Oryctolagus cuniculus: one gene and its partners. The protein of the gene in region 2 interacts with the protein of the main gene of each other region in a pairwise test. Links are inferred from orthologs where the notes say so. Each region holds a gene or a part of one and is shown on either strand. Other genes may lie near its edges.

What was found.
Region 1: the proteins of PRMT1 (region 2) and DAXX interact in a two-hybrid assay, tested with the Homo sapiens proteins (2 studies listed by BioGRID and IntAct). The link is inferred for Oryctolagus cuniculus from reciprocal best matches to the Homo sapiens genes PRMT1 and DAXX.
Region 3: the proteins of PRMT1 (region 2) and HNRNPR interact in binary tests that used the Homo sapiens proteins (3 or more experiments, as listed by UniProt). The link is inferred for Oryctolagus cuniculus from reciprocal best matches to the Homo sapiens genes PRMT1 and HNRNPR.

Annotation. Positions count from the first base shown.
Region 1 is NC_091436.1:135,802,556-135,807,593, reverse strand, and holds the start of DAXX (death domain-associated protein 6), read right to left. Parts: upstream 3,237-5,038; 5' UTR 3,098-3,236; exon of another isoform or gene 2,980-3,097; intron 2,873-2,979; exon of another isoform or gene 2,739-2,872; intron 2,607-2,738; exon of another isoform or gene 2,470-2,606; intron 1,889-2,469; 5' UTR 1,837-1,888; coding exon 1,630-1,836; intron 1,476-1,629; coding exon 644-1,475; intron 544-643; coding exon 329-543; intron 174-328; coding exon 1-173. UniProt on the Homo sapiens protein: Transcription corepressor known to repress transcriptional potential of several sumoylated transcription factors. Down-regulates basal and activated transcription.
Region 2 is NC_091449.1:7,829,165-7,834,202, forward strand, and holds the start of PRMT1 (protein arginine N-methyltransferase 1), read right to left. Parts: upstream 3,087-5,038; 5' UTR 3,008-3,086; coding exon 2,972-3,007; intron 2,181-2,971; exon of another isoform or gene 2,009-2,180; intron 1,171-2,008; coding exon 1,117-1,170; exon of another isoform or gene 1,113-1,116; intron 816-1,112; exon of another isoform or gene 716-815; coding exon of another isoform or gene 713-715; intron 508-712; coding exon 406-507; intron 1-405. UniProt on the Homo sapiens protein: Arginine methyltransferase that methylates (mono and asymmetric dimethylation) the guanidino nitrogens of arginyl residues present in proteins such as ESR1, histone H2, H3 and H4, FMR1, ILF3, HNRNPA1, HNRNPD, NFATC2IP, SUPT5H, TAF15, EWS, HABP4, SERBP1, RBM15, FOXO1, CHTOP, MAP3K5/ASK1, MICU1 and NPRL2.
Region 3 is NC_091438.1:147,602,053-147,606,990, reverse strand, and holds part of HNRNPR (heterogeneous nuclear ribonucleoprotein R), read right to left. Parts: intron 3,388-4,938; coding exon 3,172-3,387; intron 1-3,171. UniProt on the Homo sapiens protein: Component of ribonucleosomes, which are complexes of at least 20 other different heterogeneous nuclear ribonucleoproteins (hnRNP). hnRNP play an important role in processing of precursor mRNA in the nucleus.

The DNA of each region.
Region 1 (5,038 bases), on a different chromosome or scaffold from region 2:
TCTTCCCCCTGACCTTCCTGCATCTGCTCCAGATCCTCCTCCTCTTCGGAATCTGTGGCCTCCTCTTCCTCCTCCTCCTCTTCCTCCTCCTCCTCACTTTCCTCATCTTCTTCATCATCTGTCTCAGCTTTGGAGGTAGTAGGGCACTCCTGGGAAGCCATTCCACTGGGACCCTGGAGGACAAAGGAGTTTCTCTAAGGAATCCCTGGCCTCAGGGGGTTTGGTTCTTGCATTCCCTCTGTACCCCCCCATCCATCACCCTGGAACCCCTAGCGGCCAGCGCAGGGGGAGGACAAGGTCTCTCTGAAGGCTGCTGTCCCTTCCACACCTCACCAGAATCCAAGGAGGCTGTGGGGGAATCTGCAGGCTGGGAAGAGGTGCCTTGGGGGAGGCGGGCTCTTCTCTTCTGTCTCTCGCCTTCCTCACTTCTGTCTTGCATCATTGCGTATTTGGAGATGACCTCGTCTAGGCGGCTCAAGGCCAAGGTCCGGTTTTCCCGAAGGCGCCGGGCCAAGGCAGGATCTGACAGTGCAGGGTCAATGCCTACATGGGAAGATATGACAGCAGAGCACTCAGCCCACACCCTGGCAGAGAGGGCGAGCGGTCCCCTCTGCCTCCGACGGGCACCCCGCTAACCCGCTACCTGGCCTGTAGTCATCCGTGAGGTGGCAGCCGAAGTTGTAGATGAGGTCGAGATGGCGTCGCTCCTGTAGCCTGACGCCCACATCTCGGAAGGCGTCCTGGGCCATGAGCTGGAGCTGCTGGCGCGGGAGGCCGAGGCTGTGCCGGACAGCTGCCTTCTCTACGGCCCGCAGCACATCACCGTAGTCGGGGAAGGTGTCGGGGCCTGGCTTGTTGATGAGCCGCTCGATGCGCCTGTTGACCTCTGGGTAGCGGGTGCCGCGGTAGGGGATGCGCTGCTCTATGACCCGGCCGGTCAGCGAAGAGCAGTCTTTCAGCTCGCACAGTCGCCCAAAGAGGCGGATCAGCTTCCGCTTCAAGCGCGACTCCTGCAGGTACGTGGAGTCTGGGTCATCCAGTTCTGACAGATCCAGCTCCTTCTCCTGCAGCCTCCGGATCTCCGCCACGTACAGTGCCAGCAGCTGCTCTAGGCGCTGGATCTGCCGGCGGGAGCCACGGGTCCTTGGGGCCTCGGAGACAGCGGCCTCAGCATTGCCGGGCTCCGAGGCCGGGTCTGCAGAAGTATTACTCCCAGAGGGCTCACTGGAGGCGGTGGCAGCAGGAGCGAAGTTCAGCTTCTTCTTGGCTGAGTGGGCCTTGAGAACGGTGCAGAGCTCGTTGATGTAGACGTAGAGCTTGGCGGGCCGGCTCCGGGCCCGGGACAGGACCCGAGAGAGGATGTTGCAGAACTCGGCTGAGGCCAAAAACACAGAGTGGGCACGCTGCTGCCGACTGGAGAGGAACGGGACCACCTCAGGGTGGTCCGCTGTCTGCGTCTTACACAGTTCAAGGAACTGGAGGGTTCGGGGGAAGAAGAGAGCGGACAAGAGACAAGGGAGGGGGTTGAGAGAGAGAAGGGGGGGTGCAGTTAGTGGGGGAGAGAGGACCAGAGAGCCAGTGCGCCATCCCCCTCCCTGGGGTATAAGAATCTTCTCCCCTAAAGCTCACCTCTTCAAACAGCTTCTCATTCTCCAACTTGTAGCATTTCTTGCCGCCAGAACTACTGCTTCCTCCGGCCCCATGGGGCTCAGAGGAGCCAGGGGCTTCTGCCTGGGGTGAGGCCGGAGTGGGGGGTGGGTGGGAGGGCCCTGGCTGAGCGACTGCTTCATCTTCGTCATCATCATCCAGCACAATGATGCTGTTAGCGGTGGCCATGAGGGATCAAATCCCCCGGAGGGAGGAAGTGTTGGGGGTTTCAGAATTCCTGCTGGAAGGGGATGGGGCCTCAGAAAGAGCCCCTCCAGCATAGCCCCTCCCTTCAGCTCAGTTTCCAATCTCCGTGGGTTTCAGCAACACCCAGCCCTGCCCAACAGTGTCCTCACTGCCTGTCTTCTGCAACCATTAGCTCTGGATGCCTTCCCGGGCCCTTCAAGTGGCCCAGGACAGGGAACCGCAAACATTCAATCGCCACACCCAGCTCTACCTCTCACATTGGCTTCCGGTCTTTCTGTTCCATCTCCCCACTATTTCTCATAGTTGTCAAGTTGGTTCTTCCAACCCCAGTCCCGCTTCCCAGATTCCCATGACACCCTCACACACGGAAAACACACTCGCTCTGGCTGCCTCACGTCTGGCCCCTTTCACCCCGAAACATGTCAAACCCATACCCCACCCTTAATGATCACCCCAACTCCTAGACAATCCAACAGTCCTCTCAACGATCCATTCTCCTTTCCCCTCCTGCTATTAACTCCGTATTTCACCCTCTGATGGGCTTCTTCAAACCAGGGCACTGGGTTGGAGTATGACACCTCAAGAGCCCTCCCTCTCACCCCACCCTGATTTTACCTGGTCGCTCTCTGTGACTTGTAACCGATCGTGAGACCTACAGTGGGCTCTCCCGATTCTTCTCGGATCCCACCCTTGAGTCGCGCCGGCAGGGTAGATGAGCTTCCCGCCAAGTCCCCCTCCCCCAGGTCAGACCCCTAGCCGCCCCACTTCCCTTCAGGAATAAGGTACCAGAGCATGCCTCTCAGACTCAGAGCCCGCGTCTCCCCAGTACCGCCTCCTCGATATCCCCTCCCCCGTTTTCGCTCCCCACACAGTCCGGCCCGCACCTCAGAAACGGTCTCACGAGACGACCCTCGCCGCTGATCTCAGAACCTCGCATGGTTCCCTCCGCCTTCCTTCCCCCTCCCACCGCAGGCCCCACTACAGACCGGAAGCCGCGGAGTTTCCGCCTACACGCGTATAAGCGCGGCCATATTGTCGTACGGAGCCCAGCCTTCCTGCTTCCGGAAGGCCCCACCGAGCGTGCCTAGTACCGCCCACCTAGCCCGCGACTCCCTTCCCCCTGACCTGTAGGGGGCGGGGCCTGCCCCTTCAGGGCGTCCCGAAGTTGCTGGGGGCCGCCATTTTGTTGTACGGCCCCAGCTCTGCAGTGACTTGGGCCCTCAGCCGGCGGAGCTATTTTCACCTGGTGCTTCTGGGACTCCGCCAATCAGAAACTTCCTGCCTCGAGCCCAACCGCCAGCTAGTCGCGTGCCGAGACCACTGAGCCACCTTTCCCAGGGGTGGGAGGGGGGCAGTGGAATAGGCTGGCTGAAGAACTGGGGTCGCCAAGGCTGTGCATGGCTTCAGGAAAGGGCAGGCGTGTCTAAACGGGGAAATAAAACCTTTTCCTTCCGCTGGGCAATTAGTGAGGCTTCCGGTCCTGCTTTCCTATCTCCCAGGTACCGGTTTCCACCGCTTAATGGGCTTTGCGCCCCTCGCCGCTGCCCGGCCGCCGCTTCCACTTCCAGGTGCTACGTCCCCGGCCGGGAAATGTCGACGCATGCGTACAAACGAGCACCGCGCTCCCTGAAGGTGGTGGTGGTGGTATTACTATCGCTACGTTGTTGTTGACTGGCTTTCCGAGCTCCGCCTCAGAACTAATCAGCGTCCAAGCCGGCGGGACCCGAGCGGCGCTGCGCTGTTCTCCGAGTGGGGCCTGGACGCTGCGGCGGCATCGGCCCCTCGAGGCTCTGTCGTGGGGTCCGGGGGCTGGGGGGAGCAGCTGGGCGATGGCCCCCGCGCGTGCGGGGAGACGCGGTGGTCTCCTGCTCCTCAGGGAGAGCCGAGGACAGAGTGAGGAAGGAGCCGGAGGAGACGCCTCGCGTGGGGGAGGCCGGGCCGCGTCCCGAGGCGCGCTTGCGGGGACAGCGCGAAGCCCACGCGCGGGTGGTGGCCTCCTGCCTCAGGCCCGCGGCCTTGCATCCCTGACGCTTCCTTTGAGAATCCCTGTCACTTCTCGCCAGTCGTCCAGGCCTACAGCCTTCAAATTGAGCAACAAAACTCGCCAAGACCACTGGGTCTTGACAAAGAGGATTTAAGTTTCAGATCCTCAGCTTTCCCAAAATTGGGCTCCCAGAGCGAGCGCCTGCGGTAGAGGTTCTCCCTCTTCCTTCCCCTTCACAATGGACTTTCTCCATCTTATAATAATTCACAGCCGTGAAGTTGCCTGGGTCTCTTACCTGGCTGAAGTCAAAAGACACGTGGTCTATTTCAGCGATGCACCATGAACACAATCTTCTAGCTTATTAAAAATTCGTAATGCAAAAATTTGCACAATCTTTGTGCTGCTTGATAAATTCGTTTTTCATAATTGTAACGATAAATATTTTTAACAAAGAGTCAAAATCGCAAGAAAGACTTTTTTATTTAAAAAAATGTTTTTTATTTGACAGGTAGAGTTAGAGACAGAGAGAAAGGTCTTCCTTACGTTGGTTCACCCCCCAAATGGCCACTACGGCTGGCGCTGTGCCGATCCGAAGCCAGGAGCCAGGTGCTTCCTCCTGGTCTCCCATGCGGGTGCAGGGCCCAGGCACTTGGGCCATCCTCCACTGCCTTCCCGGGCCACAGCAGAGAGCTGTACTGGAAGAGGAGCAACCGGGACTAGAACCCGGCGCCCATATGGGATGCCGGCGCCGCAGGTGGAGGATTAACCAAGTGAGCCACGGCGCCGGCCCCAAGAAAGACATTTTTCATCTCAATTAGTATATATGTACCTTCAGGAAAACGTAAGAGGTTGGTCAATAAAAGATTTTCAAATATAAGAGCATATAGTTGGTGTTGGTGCTGTGGATTAAGACTCTGCCTCTGGCACTGGCATCCCATGTATGGGTGATGGTTCGAGTCCCAGCTGCTCCACTTTCAATCAAGCTCTCAGCTATGGCCTGGGAAAGCAGTAGAAAATGGCTCAATTCTTTAAGCACCTGTACTCGCATGGGAAACCTGGAAGAAGCTCCTGGCTCCTGGCTTTGAATCGGCCTGGCTCTGGTCGTTGCAGCCATTTGGGGAGTGAACCAGTGGATGGAAGACCTCTCTCTCTCTGCCTCTGCCTCTGTAGTTCTGCCTTTCAAGTAGATGTTTAAAAAGA
Region 2 (5,038 bases):
GTCCTACAGAGCACCAGGCTTGGTCTCCAAGGCAACGGCTGGGCCGAGCTGACCCAGGAGTACCAGCTGCGCAGGCGCAGTAGAGGGGCCGAGGTGGGCTGGCTGCCAGGGAGGCAGTGCGCTTGCTTGGGAAATTCAGCTCCATCCATCCTCAACCCTTAACCCACCCAGACCTCACAGGCCTAACCCTGGGCGGCCCGGATCGCATCCAGGGTGCCCGAGTTCCAGACCCCACGCCTCCTCTCCCCAGGCAGCCCCTAACAGGTGCTCACGTGGGCGGCCCTGGCTCCTGGCTGCGCCAACCCTAGCTCCTGCAGGCACTGGGGTGAGGGAACCAGCCGCTTCCGATAACATGAAGATATGCAAATATTCCTACGCACGCACAGGCCTCAGGGCCGCACTCACCTCGTGGATGCCGAAGTGGGCGTAGGAGTCAAAGTAGTAGTCTTTGGACGTCATGTCCTCGGCGTTGGGCTTCTCGCTGCCTTCGGCCTGGCCGCAGGACACCTGGCAGGGAGGGGACGGGGCACGGTTAGATCCAGGGGCTCCGCCTCCCCGCCTTTCCCTCAGGAGTGTTACCGAGACCCCCGAATCATAGCCGTGACGGCCCTGGAGTCCCCGCAGCCCCCACAACCTACGATCCCCGTTCGCCACGTCCAGGACCCCCCAGAGCACCGTCCAGGGGAGCGCCCGATGCCGCAGGCCCGCCTACCATCTCTCCAGTCTCTCTGCCCCCGTCTCTAGCTCAGCCCACAGCTGGGGAGGGGAGGGGAAGGGAAGGCAGGACTGGGGCAGACGCGGGGAAGGGCCAGGGGGTTGGAGATGGAGTTAAGGAAGCAGCCACGGAACCGGGGCCAGCAGGGGCCGTGACCCTGGAGGGGTTGGCACTAAGTGTGGCGGGGGCTTCTGGGGAAGCTGGTTTGAAGCCACAGGGACCACCGTGAGGCCTGTGGGAGGGGCCAGCCGTGTGGCGAGAGACTTGTGTGGAGCTGCAGGTGGGGGCGGGTCTCAGAGCGAGACAGACTGATGTGGAGGTGCGGGTGGGGGGCCGGCCGTGTGGGGAGATGGGTTTATGTGCAGGTGCGGGTGGGAGGGGTCTCACAAAAGGATATTTACGTCGTCAAGAGGCGGCTGGAGGCTCATCCCATTAGCCAAGGTGGCTACAAAATTCTAGGAGAGAGTACAGGGAGAGAGGATTAGCTACGGGAGAGGCCAGGGAGGGCCAGTCTCTGGGGAGTGGGATCCCTTCACTTTCCTGCTCCGGGCTGGGCGCTGTGAGGAGGGAGTCAGTGATGGGGCGGTGAGAAAGGGAGGGGAGAAGTGGAGGGAGAAGCGGGGTCTCCTATCCCAGCTGTGGCTGGAGAGATGGCGGCCTGCCCCCACCCCGGCCGAGGACCTGGCGTCCGCCGGGCACACGGGCAGCGCCAGCTGTCCCTCCTGCTCCTTGCCTAATCCCCCCAGATTAGGTGACGCTTCCTCACACCCCATCCCCGGTGCCCTGAATAGCTGGAGCGAGGGGGGCCGGCGGGGTGCGCCCCCAAGGCCTCCCGTGGGGCAGGATTCCAGAAAGAGGGCTGGGCACGCGGCCACCCCCAGCGCCAGCACCCCGGCTCCCGGCTCCCGCCGTGGCTTCAGGAAGCTCCACACAAAACCAGGAAGGGCAGGAGCCGGGAGGCCAGCCCCGCGAGGACGGCCCCACAGGTGGCCCGTCTCGGCCACCCAGACCCTGAAGCCCCCACGCGTGACTTCCGGGAAGTCACTTCCTCCACTCTCCCCAGGAGAGTCAAGGGGGCCCCGCGGGGCAGTGAGTGCTGCACCCCCATCCCGAGAACGCTACGAGGGGTGACAGTCCGCCACACCACACCTCTTCAGAGGGGCCAAGTCACAGGCCACGGCCCACCTGGCTCCAGGCCCTCTCCCCAAATTCTCCCAAGCCAGCGGTATCGAATACCACCCATGCGTGCCCCGTCCCGGGAGGGCTTGCAACCACCCAAACTGGAACCTTCACCCCATGGCTGCACAGGGCCGAAATCTCGCTGCAAACCAGGACCCTCCGTCAGGCCGGGCAAGGTCATCTCCCACGCTCGCACACGCGGGAACCCAGCGGGCACAGCTCACAGCCCGCGCGCGGTGCATTTCTCATCCCATCGCCTTCCCGGCCAACACTCTCCCTCCGCCCACCCTGGAGGGCTCCAACGGGGAGGTGGGCTTGCGGACACGCCCATGAAGAAGGTCCCTCCCACACGCCGAGAACTGGCCACCAGGGGGTGCGCGGCGCCCTATCGGGGAGATCTCCATCTAGGTGCCCCCCCACCGCACAGGGAGGTCACAGGGGCATGACCCATCCCCCAGCTCCCGAAGCCCCGGCCCGGGGAGAGCCCGGGGGCAGAGGAGGAGCTGGGGGGGCGCTGCAATTCTCCATCTCTCTCCCACGCCGCGCGGAGGTCCCTGGCCCCGTGTGCAGGGGGGACCAGCGCCGCCCCCCAAGACTCCTTCCGAGGGGCCGGTCAGCAGGCACACCCCACCCCAGCGCGTGCAACCCGGTCCCCGGGGAGCAGCCCTGGAGGGGCTCTGCGAGGGGGTCGGAGGCTCCCACCGGACCCCCTCCTCCGGGCGGGGGCGGGGCCTTTGTCCCGCACGTGGAGTCCGCCGGGCCACCGGGATCGGCACACCCCCTCCCCACCCACCGCGCCGCAGCCACGTGGGGGCCCGGCCGGAAGCGCCCCCGGCCCTCCTCCACGTGGGAGGGGGGATGAGCCCCTCGGCTCAGCCGGGTATCGAAGGCCCCAGAAAGCGAGGGAACCCCCCAACTCCAGCGATATCCTCAGATCCGGAGCATTCGCCGCTCCCTCCGCGCGGCCAGGGGCCCTTTTAGCCCCACTTCGGCGACTCAGAGCCCCCTCCCCACCGCGGGAGCGTAAAACGCCGACGCCAGGCCGCCCCCATCCCCGGCGGCGCTCCGGGCTCTCACCTCCATGATGCAGTTCGCGGCCTCGGCTGCCGCCATCTTCACCCGCACCTACTCCTCCTCCTCCTCCGGCAGCCGAGACCCCCCCCTTTCTCCTCACTCCCCCGGGACCGCCTTATACCGGAGGGTCGACGACACGCCTACCGCTACCGCGCTAGGAGATTTCATTGGCAACGGCGGCGGCCCGTCTGAAAATACCGTGTAGCAATTGGGTGCCGAAGACGCCCGTCAAAGGCCAGGGCCCTCCCAGTCTGGCGGTCACAGCCCCGCCCCCTTAAGTCGACTGGGATGGGAGAAGCTGCCTGTCCATCTCAAGAACCCCGTCTACTGATTGGACAAAGTTAACCAGGAGTGTCCGCCCAGCACCTCCTCAAAACTTCCCGGCGGTCCTCGCGCTAAGCGGACGTCTTGAAGCAGAGCTGTCCATCAACGAATTGACCCGCCACCTGATCGCTGCTATTGGCTAAGCCGGAAGGTGACGTCACCAGGCCTCTGGCTAGCTCTGGCCGAGCACGGCCCTCAAGGAGAACACGGCAATTGGCCCACGGGGAGCGAGCCAGGCCGGCCTTTCGGCACCAGCGATTGGCTCAGAGGAACTGCCGCTCATCGTCCGTCCGGTGGGTCCTGGCAGCTCGAGGGGAGTCCTGCAGGAGCCGGGGAGCCTGTGCCCGTTCACCCGGGGACAGGAACGGACGCAGCGCGAGGCCCCGAGGCAGGGAGGGCTTGATGGGAGCCAGGCGTGGACGCCTGTCACCCGCGCCCCGTCCTTAACGGCGCCAAGTCTGGGACCCAGCAGCCCCCTCTGGGCCGCCGGGCCTTCGCCACGTCCCGCCTCCTGCCAGGAACGCCCTCCTCCCTTTGTCTGGCCGGCACCCAGCGGTCAGTGCGGGCGTCCGGCCGCTGCCGCCTCCGGGAAGCCCTCCCGGATCTACACGCAGGCACGCAGTGGAGGCTAATGCCGGGCGCTGAGTGCGTGCACCCCGCCGCAGTCCTCGGGCCGGCGCCTTTCCACGCCCCGGCGGGCTTCCCGCCCGGTCCACTCGAGCACAGGGAGGTTCCCTGGATGACCTATCAGCTCGCCTCCCGCTCTCCAGGGCTCCCCGCGTCCGAGCACCGGGCCCCCGCCCCTGCCTCCCACCCGCTCCCTAGCACCCCCGAGGGCAGAGGCGGAGAGCGCGAGCGAGCACACTCCCACTGCCTGGGTCTCCGCCCCAGATGTCCCACAAAGGCCAGGCCCAGAAGCTGGGCGCCTGGAGCTCCGTCCCGGCCTCCCACGTGGGTGGGGGGCCCAGCTGCTGCGGTTTAGTAGGGACCTGGAGCTGGAGCCAGGCATAGAGGGCGGGATGTAGGGGCCTCGTCGGTTAGGCTGAAAGCCCGCCCCTCAGATTTAAATGAATGTAGCCCCTCCCCCAGCACGCCATTGCTTAGAGGGAGAATCGCTCGGGGAGGGGGGGGGCAAGGCGGTGTTTCCATCTCAGAAAGTAGAATGGAAACATTTGGGGTTCTGCTAAGCCAGTTTTATTCGAGGTGCAGGTCACGGACATTACACGCACCCAGTTTAGTTTGGTGAAACCGCTTACGTAGGTGGCAGGTGGGTGCGGAGGGCTGCGCTGGGCCAGGCCAGACCCCACCCGGGTCTCCCAGGCCATCCTGCAGGGAGCTTGACATGGGGAGGCGGCCCCACCCGCTACGCCACAGCGCCAGCCCCTGTGGCAGGCCTGTTTGGGCCTGGCGGGCCCAGACGAGCCTGGAGAAGTCCACGTGGGTCTCCCAGGGGGTGGCAGGGACCTGGGTGTCCGGGTCACTGCCCCAGCATGCATGCAGAGCTGGATAAAGTAGAGGAGCTGGGACTTGAGCTGGCACTCCGGAAAGTTCTGGCAGGAGGCACCCCTTGTGCACCCCGCCACCATCAGCGGGCACTTTGCACGCGCCCGCCCCTGGGAGCCAGCACCTGGGTTTTCCCGAGGGCGCCGCACAGCCTTCCAGGCCGGAAGTCGAGCTCACCCCCGGAAGAAACAAAGTTGAAAACGCAGGACACAAAGTAGCGGCTGCAGGCCCGACACAAAGTGC
Region 3 (4,938 bases), on a different chromosome or scaffold from region 2:
TCATTCATTACAGTATTGTTAACAAAAAAAAATGGGGGGACAGAAACATCCAGCAAGTATGCATGTGCTACGGCACACCCACAGAATGGAATATTATGCAGCCACAGTAACTAGGATGAGCTCTATGGGCTGATATAGAGATTGCTAGGATACACTATCGGTAAGACACATTTCCCCCCATTTTTGTATCTCTGAAATGGGAGTAAAAATTTACAGTCAATATGGTAAGCAAGCTTTGTGCCACACTATTGGCAACACTTTATACTTTTTAAAAATATTTATTTATTTATGCATTTATTTGAAAGAGTTACAGAGAGAGGAAGACACATACACACAGAGAAAAAGAGAAAGAGAGACAGAATGAATCTTCCCTCTGCTGGTTCACTTCCCAGATGGCTACAATGGCTGGAGCTGGACCAGGCTGAAGGCAGGAGCTTCTACAGGGTTCCCACTTGGCGGAGAAACAGAATAACAAAGCAAATAGAGATGTGTGAATATGGGCTGGCACGTGGCACAGTAGGTTAAGCCACCACTTGCAGTGTCAACATCCCACTCCCAATCCAGCTCCTTGCTAATGTGACTGGGAAAGCAGCTGAGGATGGTCCAAGTCCTAGGGGCCCTGCATCCAAGAAGGAGATCCAGAACTCCAGGCTCCTAGTTTTGGACAGGCCCAGCTCCAGCCACTGCGGACATTTGGGGAGTGAACCAGCAAATGAAAGATTTCTATCTCTCCCTCTCTCTCTGTAACTGACTTTCAAATAAATAAATAAATAAATCTTTTTAAAAAAAGTGAATATAGTGAGTTACCAACAACCATCCATGGAAGAATTAAGGACAGGAGAAGTGGGAACTCCATTGTCTATATATTTCTATATAATTTATGATTTTTTAAGTAAGCACATATATTACTTACTCAAACAAAAAATTAATATAGCTACTGAACACACTGTTGCCTCAAAGGGCTATATGAATAAAAAGAATTTAGGGAGAGTATTAATTCAAAGAGGGTGAGGACTGATACTTTTCACCTCTACTCCCTCCCCTTTTTCTCAACACTGTCAAACTGAGGGAGGTCTAGTCTAAATATCAATCTCCCCAACACTGATTTTTCACCTCAAACAACAACATCGATCTTTTATTCTTTTCTGTGAAGAAACCACAACCTACCATCTAAAAGTTACTTGATAGAATTGTTTAAAATATTTAACAGAAGGGGCCAGTGCAGTGGCGTAGCAGGTAAAGCCACTGCCTGCAGTGCTGGCATCGCATATGGGCAATGGTTCAAGTCCTGGCTGCTCCACTTCGGATCCAGTTCTCTGCCATGGCCTGGGAAAGCAGCAGAAGATGGCCCAAGTCCGCTTAAGTCCAGGTCTCTGTATCTTTGCCTTCCAAATAAATAAATAAATCTTTAAAAAAAAAATACAGGAAAAGTCTCTTTAGGCTCTTAGGTTCTTTCTTTTGTTTTTTCGATTTTAATGCCTGATGCAACCATTTTTTTTTAAAGATTTATTTATTTATTTGAAAGGCAGAGTTACAGAGAGGCAAACACAGAGAGAGAGAGGTTTTCCACCCACTGGTTCACTACCCAAATGGCCACAACGGCTGGAGCTGGGCCGATCTGAAGCCAAGAGCCAGGAGCTTCTTCTGGGTCTCCCATGCGGTGCAGGGGGCCCAAAGACTGGGCCCCTGAAGTTCTTAATGATTATAAAACTAACCCAAATTGGCAAAAGATTCTTCAATGAACACTGCTAAGAGTGAAAAGTGGAAGTTTTAATGAGCAAACAAACAGCAGAATAAAATTTTGAGATTTTCTAACCCTAAAAATGATTTAAGATAAAACTATATGAAAGGTTACCAGCAGCATGTAAAAAGTTTTGATAAGCAAATTATTAGCTATATTTTAGGTTTCCAGATTTTATAATACATCTAAATTGCTATTTTTAGATTTTCTCAAGTAGAAAAAACAAATAGGCTACATTTAGTTTCTACAGATAGATTCAAAGTTGTAGTGGATCATAACATATTTATCTAACCCCAATAAAATAAACAAAATCTAAGTTGAGTAGATTGTCCCAAGCCATAATTATATTAGGAGAAGAAACAGCTGGAATTAAGCTAATAAAAACCAGAAATAAAAAAAAAATTAGGGATATATTCTCACCTCCTTTCCTAGTCGCTCATCTACTCAAACAATATGATAAAAGATACATTTGAATGGCACTTCTGAGAGCCTCTCTGGTTCATTCTCAATGGATTTTTTTCTGCATAATTCAAAGCTGTTTTTGCCTACAAAGACTATATCATACTAGTATAAACCGGAGTCCATCTCCAAACTAGTGACAACTTGCCTCCTCAAAACCTAGAATAAAAAGCTTAAGGAAAGGAATTCTCAGTCAAGAAGAATCCAATCAGTTATCACAGCCATCAGAGTTGATGCCTCCCTAAGGAGAGAGGAGACGTAACTGAAAGAGTCAAGAACCCAACACAAACAGCAGATTCAACCGATGTGTCCCTTGAACCCTAGAAGTCATCCAAAAGAAAACATAAAAACCAGGATTCGCGGCACCACCATTTGACAGGTAAAATCCTGGCAACACAAGCATAGGAGGTAGGAAGAAACTGACAGCAGGAATTGTCATGTATATTTTGCCACTATCAATTAATAGCAAACACAACAATCCTTTGCCTTTCTTCATGGGGCTCAATACTCTAAGGGAAATTGAAAGAAAAATTAGCTATAAATCTAAATAAAAGAATTCAAAGCCACATAATAAAAGTTGCAGTACAGTCAGTAAAGACTTTAGTTTATAAACTCCAAAACATTACTTCTCTCTTTACTCAACAAGACCTCATCTTAAAAGTCTGTATCCTTATGTGTGCATAACACTATGTGGGATACAGAAAATAGTGGTATGAAATACTTTCAATTGAAGGGATTTTATTTCATTTCCTCTTACACATTTAATCTGCAGGAAAAGGGATGATTAATGGAAATTATTACAGGACACCAAGACAGTCTGTAGCCTCAGTGTTAAATCAGTTCGTGACTAAACAGCTAAAAGATAATAGCTACAATTTGTATTTAATCAGAAAACTCAAAATATTTGAGCTTTATTATTAGTACAAAATTGAAATGATATCCCTACCCCCACCCCAAGTAATTGCATTTACCTTAGCCATGACTTCTGGATCTGGTTCTTCCACAGGGTCAGCCCATTCAACTGTAACTACATTTCCCCATACTTTTACTTTTCCACTCATTAGCCGACGTCTGGCTTGTGCTGCAGACTTGTGATCCTCATATTCAAGGAAGCAGAACCCCCGATTCTTCTTTTTGTCATCGGGTTGATGATAGAGAATAACGTCCACCAAACCCTCTGTTAAACCAACAGCCAGATATATAAGCCAAAAGCATCCACCACACACCTAACGATCAGGCAGACCTAAACCCATTTGCCGACAAAAATTAATCGAAGAAACCTCAAAATGAGTCACTTGTTACCTAGTAGACAATTAGATCAGCATAATTTGATACAGTGTGGCACAGTATTTTACATTCCCCTCTAATTTTAGGGGCCTAACGGTACAGCCATATGTAACAGGTCTAATCACTGGTATATTTAAAGTTCTACAATATTTTACAATATTTGATATAACTTAGCCTCATAATTTAAATATTATTTTAAGACCCTAAAAACAAATTTAATATAAACCCAAGAGAACTAACTTTTAATAACAAATCAGTTACAAAAATCTTAAATTAAACCTAACTTAAAAATTACTATTTTCACTAGAAATGAAGGTGGTCACTAACTACTGGCGTCCCGCTGATATCAGTCCTTTGCCTTATCGCTTCATGTGTATTTTCCAGATAATATCATTCAGGTGTGCTTTTAGATACTATGTATATCATTATAAACGCCAGATGTGTTTGCTTACCATGTCCCCTTATGACACTTCCAACACCACAAGCCAAATCACACCACCATGCCCCAAATCTGTCTTTCCTAGTATCTTCCAATCTAGTAAACAGTGCCATCTACTTGGCTCTCAAGCCAAAAATTGATGAGGTATTCTTGATTTCTTCCTTTGCTTCATCTCTATCCAGTTCCCAACTCATTTCTTTTGCTTTCCACGGCTAATATCTTTGTCCAGTCTTCTATCTGAACTACCAACAGCCTCAACTAATTTATCAGCTTCTATTCTTGATTCTCTCTCCAAACCTTTATCCACATAGCAGCAGAATAACATTCTGCAAACATGAAACAGATGTTATTCCCTGCTTAAGACCTTTGAATGCCTTTCTCATAATCTCTGGAATAAAATCCAATCTCTTTACATGGTCCACAAAAACTCTGCCTTTTTACCTCATGTGATTCTACTCTTATTTTACCTCTTAACAACACATTTCTCTCAGTTACATTAATATACTGAGTTCTTTCTTGCCTTGGAGACTTGGCATGTGCCACTCTCTTGGAATGGAGCCCCCTTTTTTTTTTTTTTTAAACAGGCAGAGTGGACAGTGAGAAAGAGAGACAGAGAGAAAGGTCTTCCTTTGCCATTGGTTCACCCTCCAATGGCCGCCACGGCCAGTGCATCGCACTGATCCGAAGGCAGGAGCCAGGTGCTTCTCCTGGTCTCCCATGGGGTGCAGGGCCCAAGTACTTGGGCCATCCTCCACTGCACTCCCTGGCCACAGCAGAGAGCTGGCCTGGAAGAGGGGCAACTGGGACTAGAACCCAGTGTGCTGGTGCCGCTAGGCGGAGGATTAGCTTATTGAGCCGCAGCGCCAGCCGCCCCTTTTGCTTTTGGTATACTACATCTTCATCACTTAGGTCTTGGTTCAAACATCACCTTATTAGTAAACCATGGATAGTAGCTATTTTCTAGTTAAATATCCTATGTTTTCCCTTCCACAGTGCTTTATGACAATGTGCA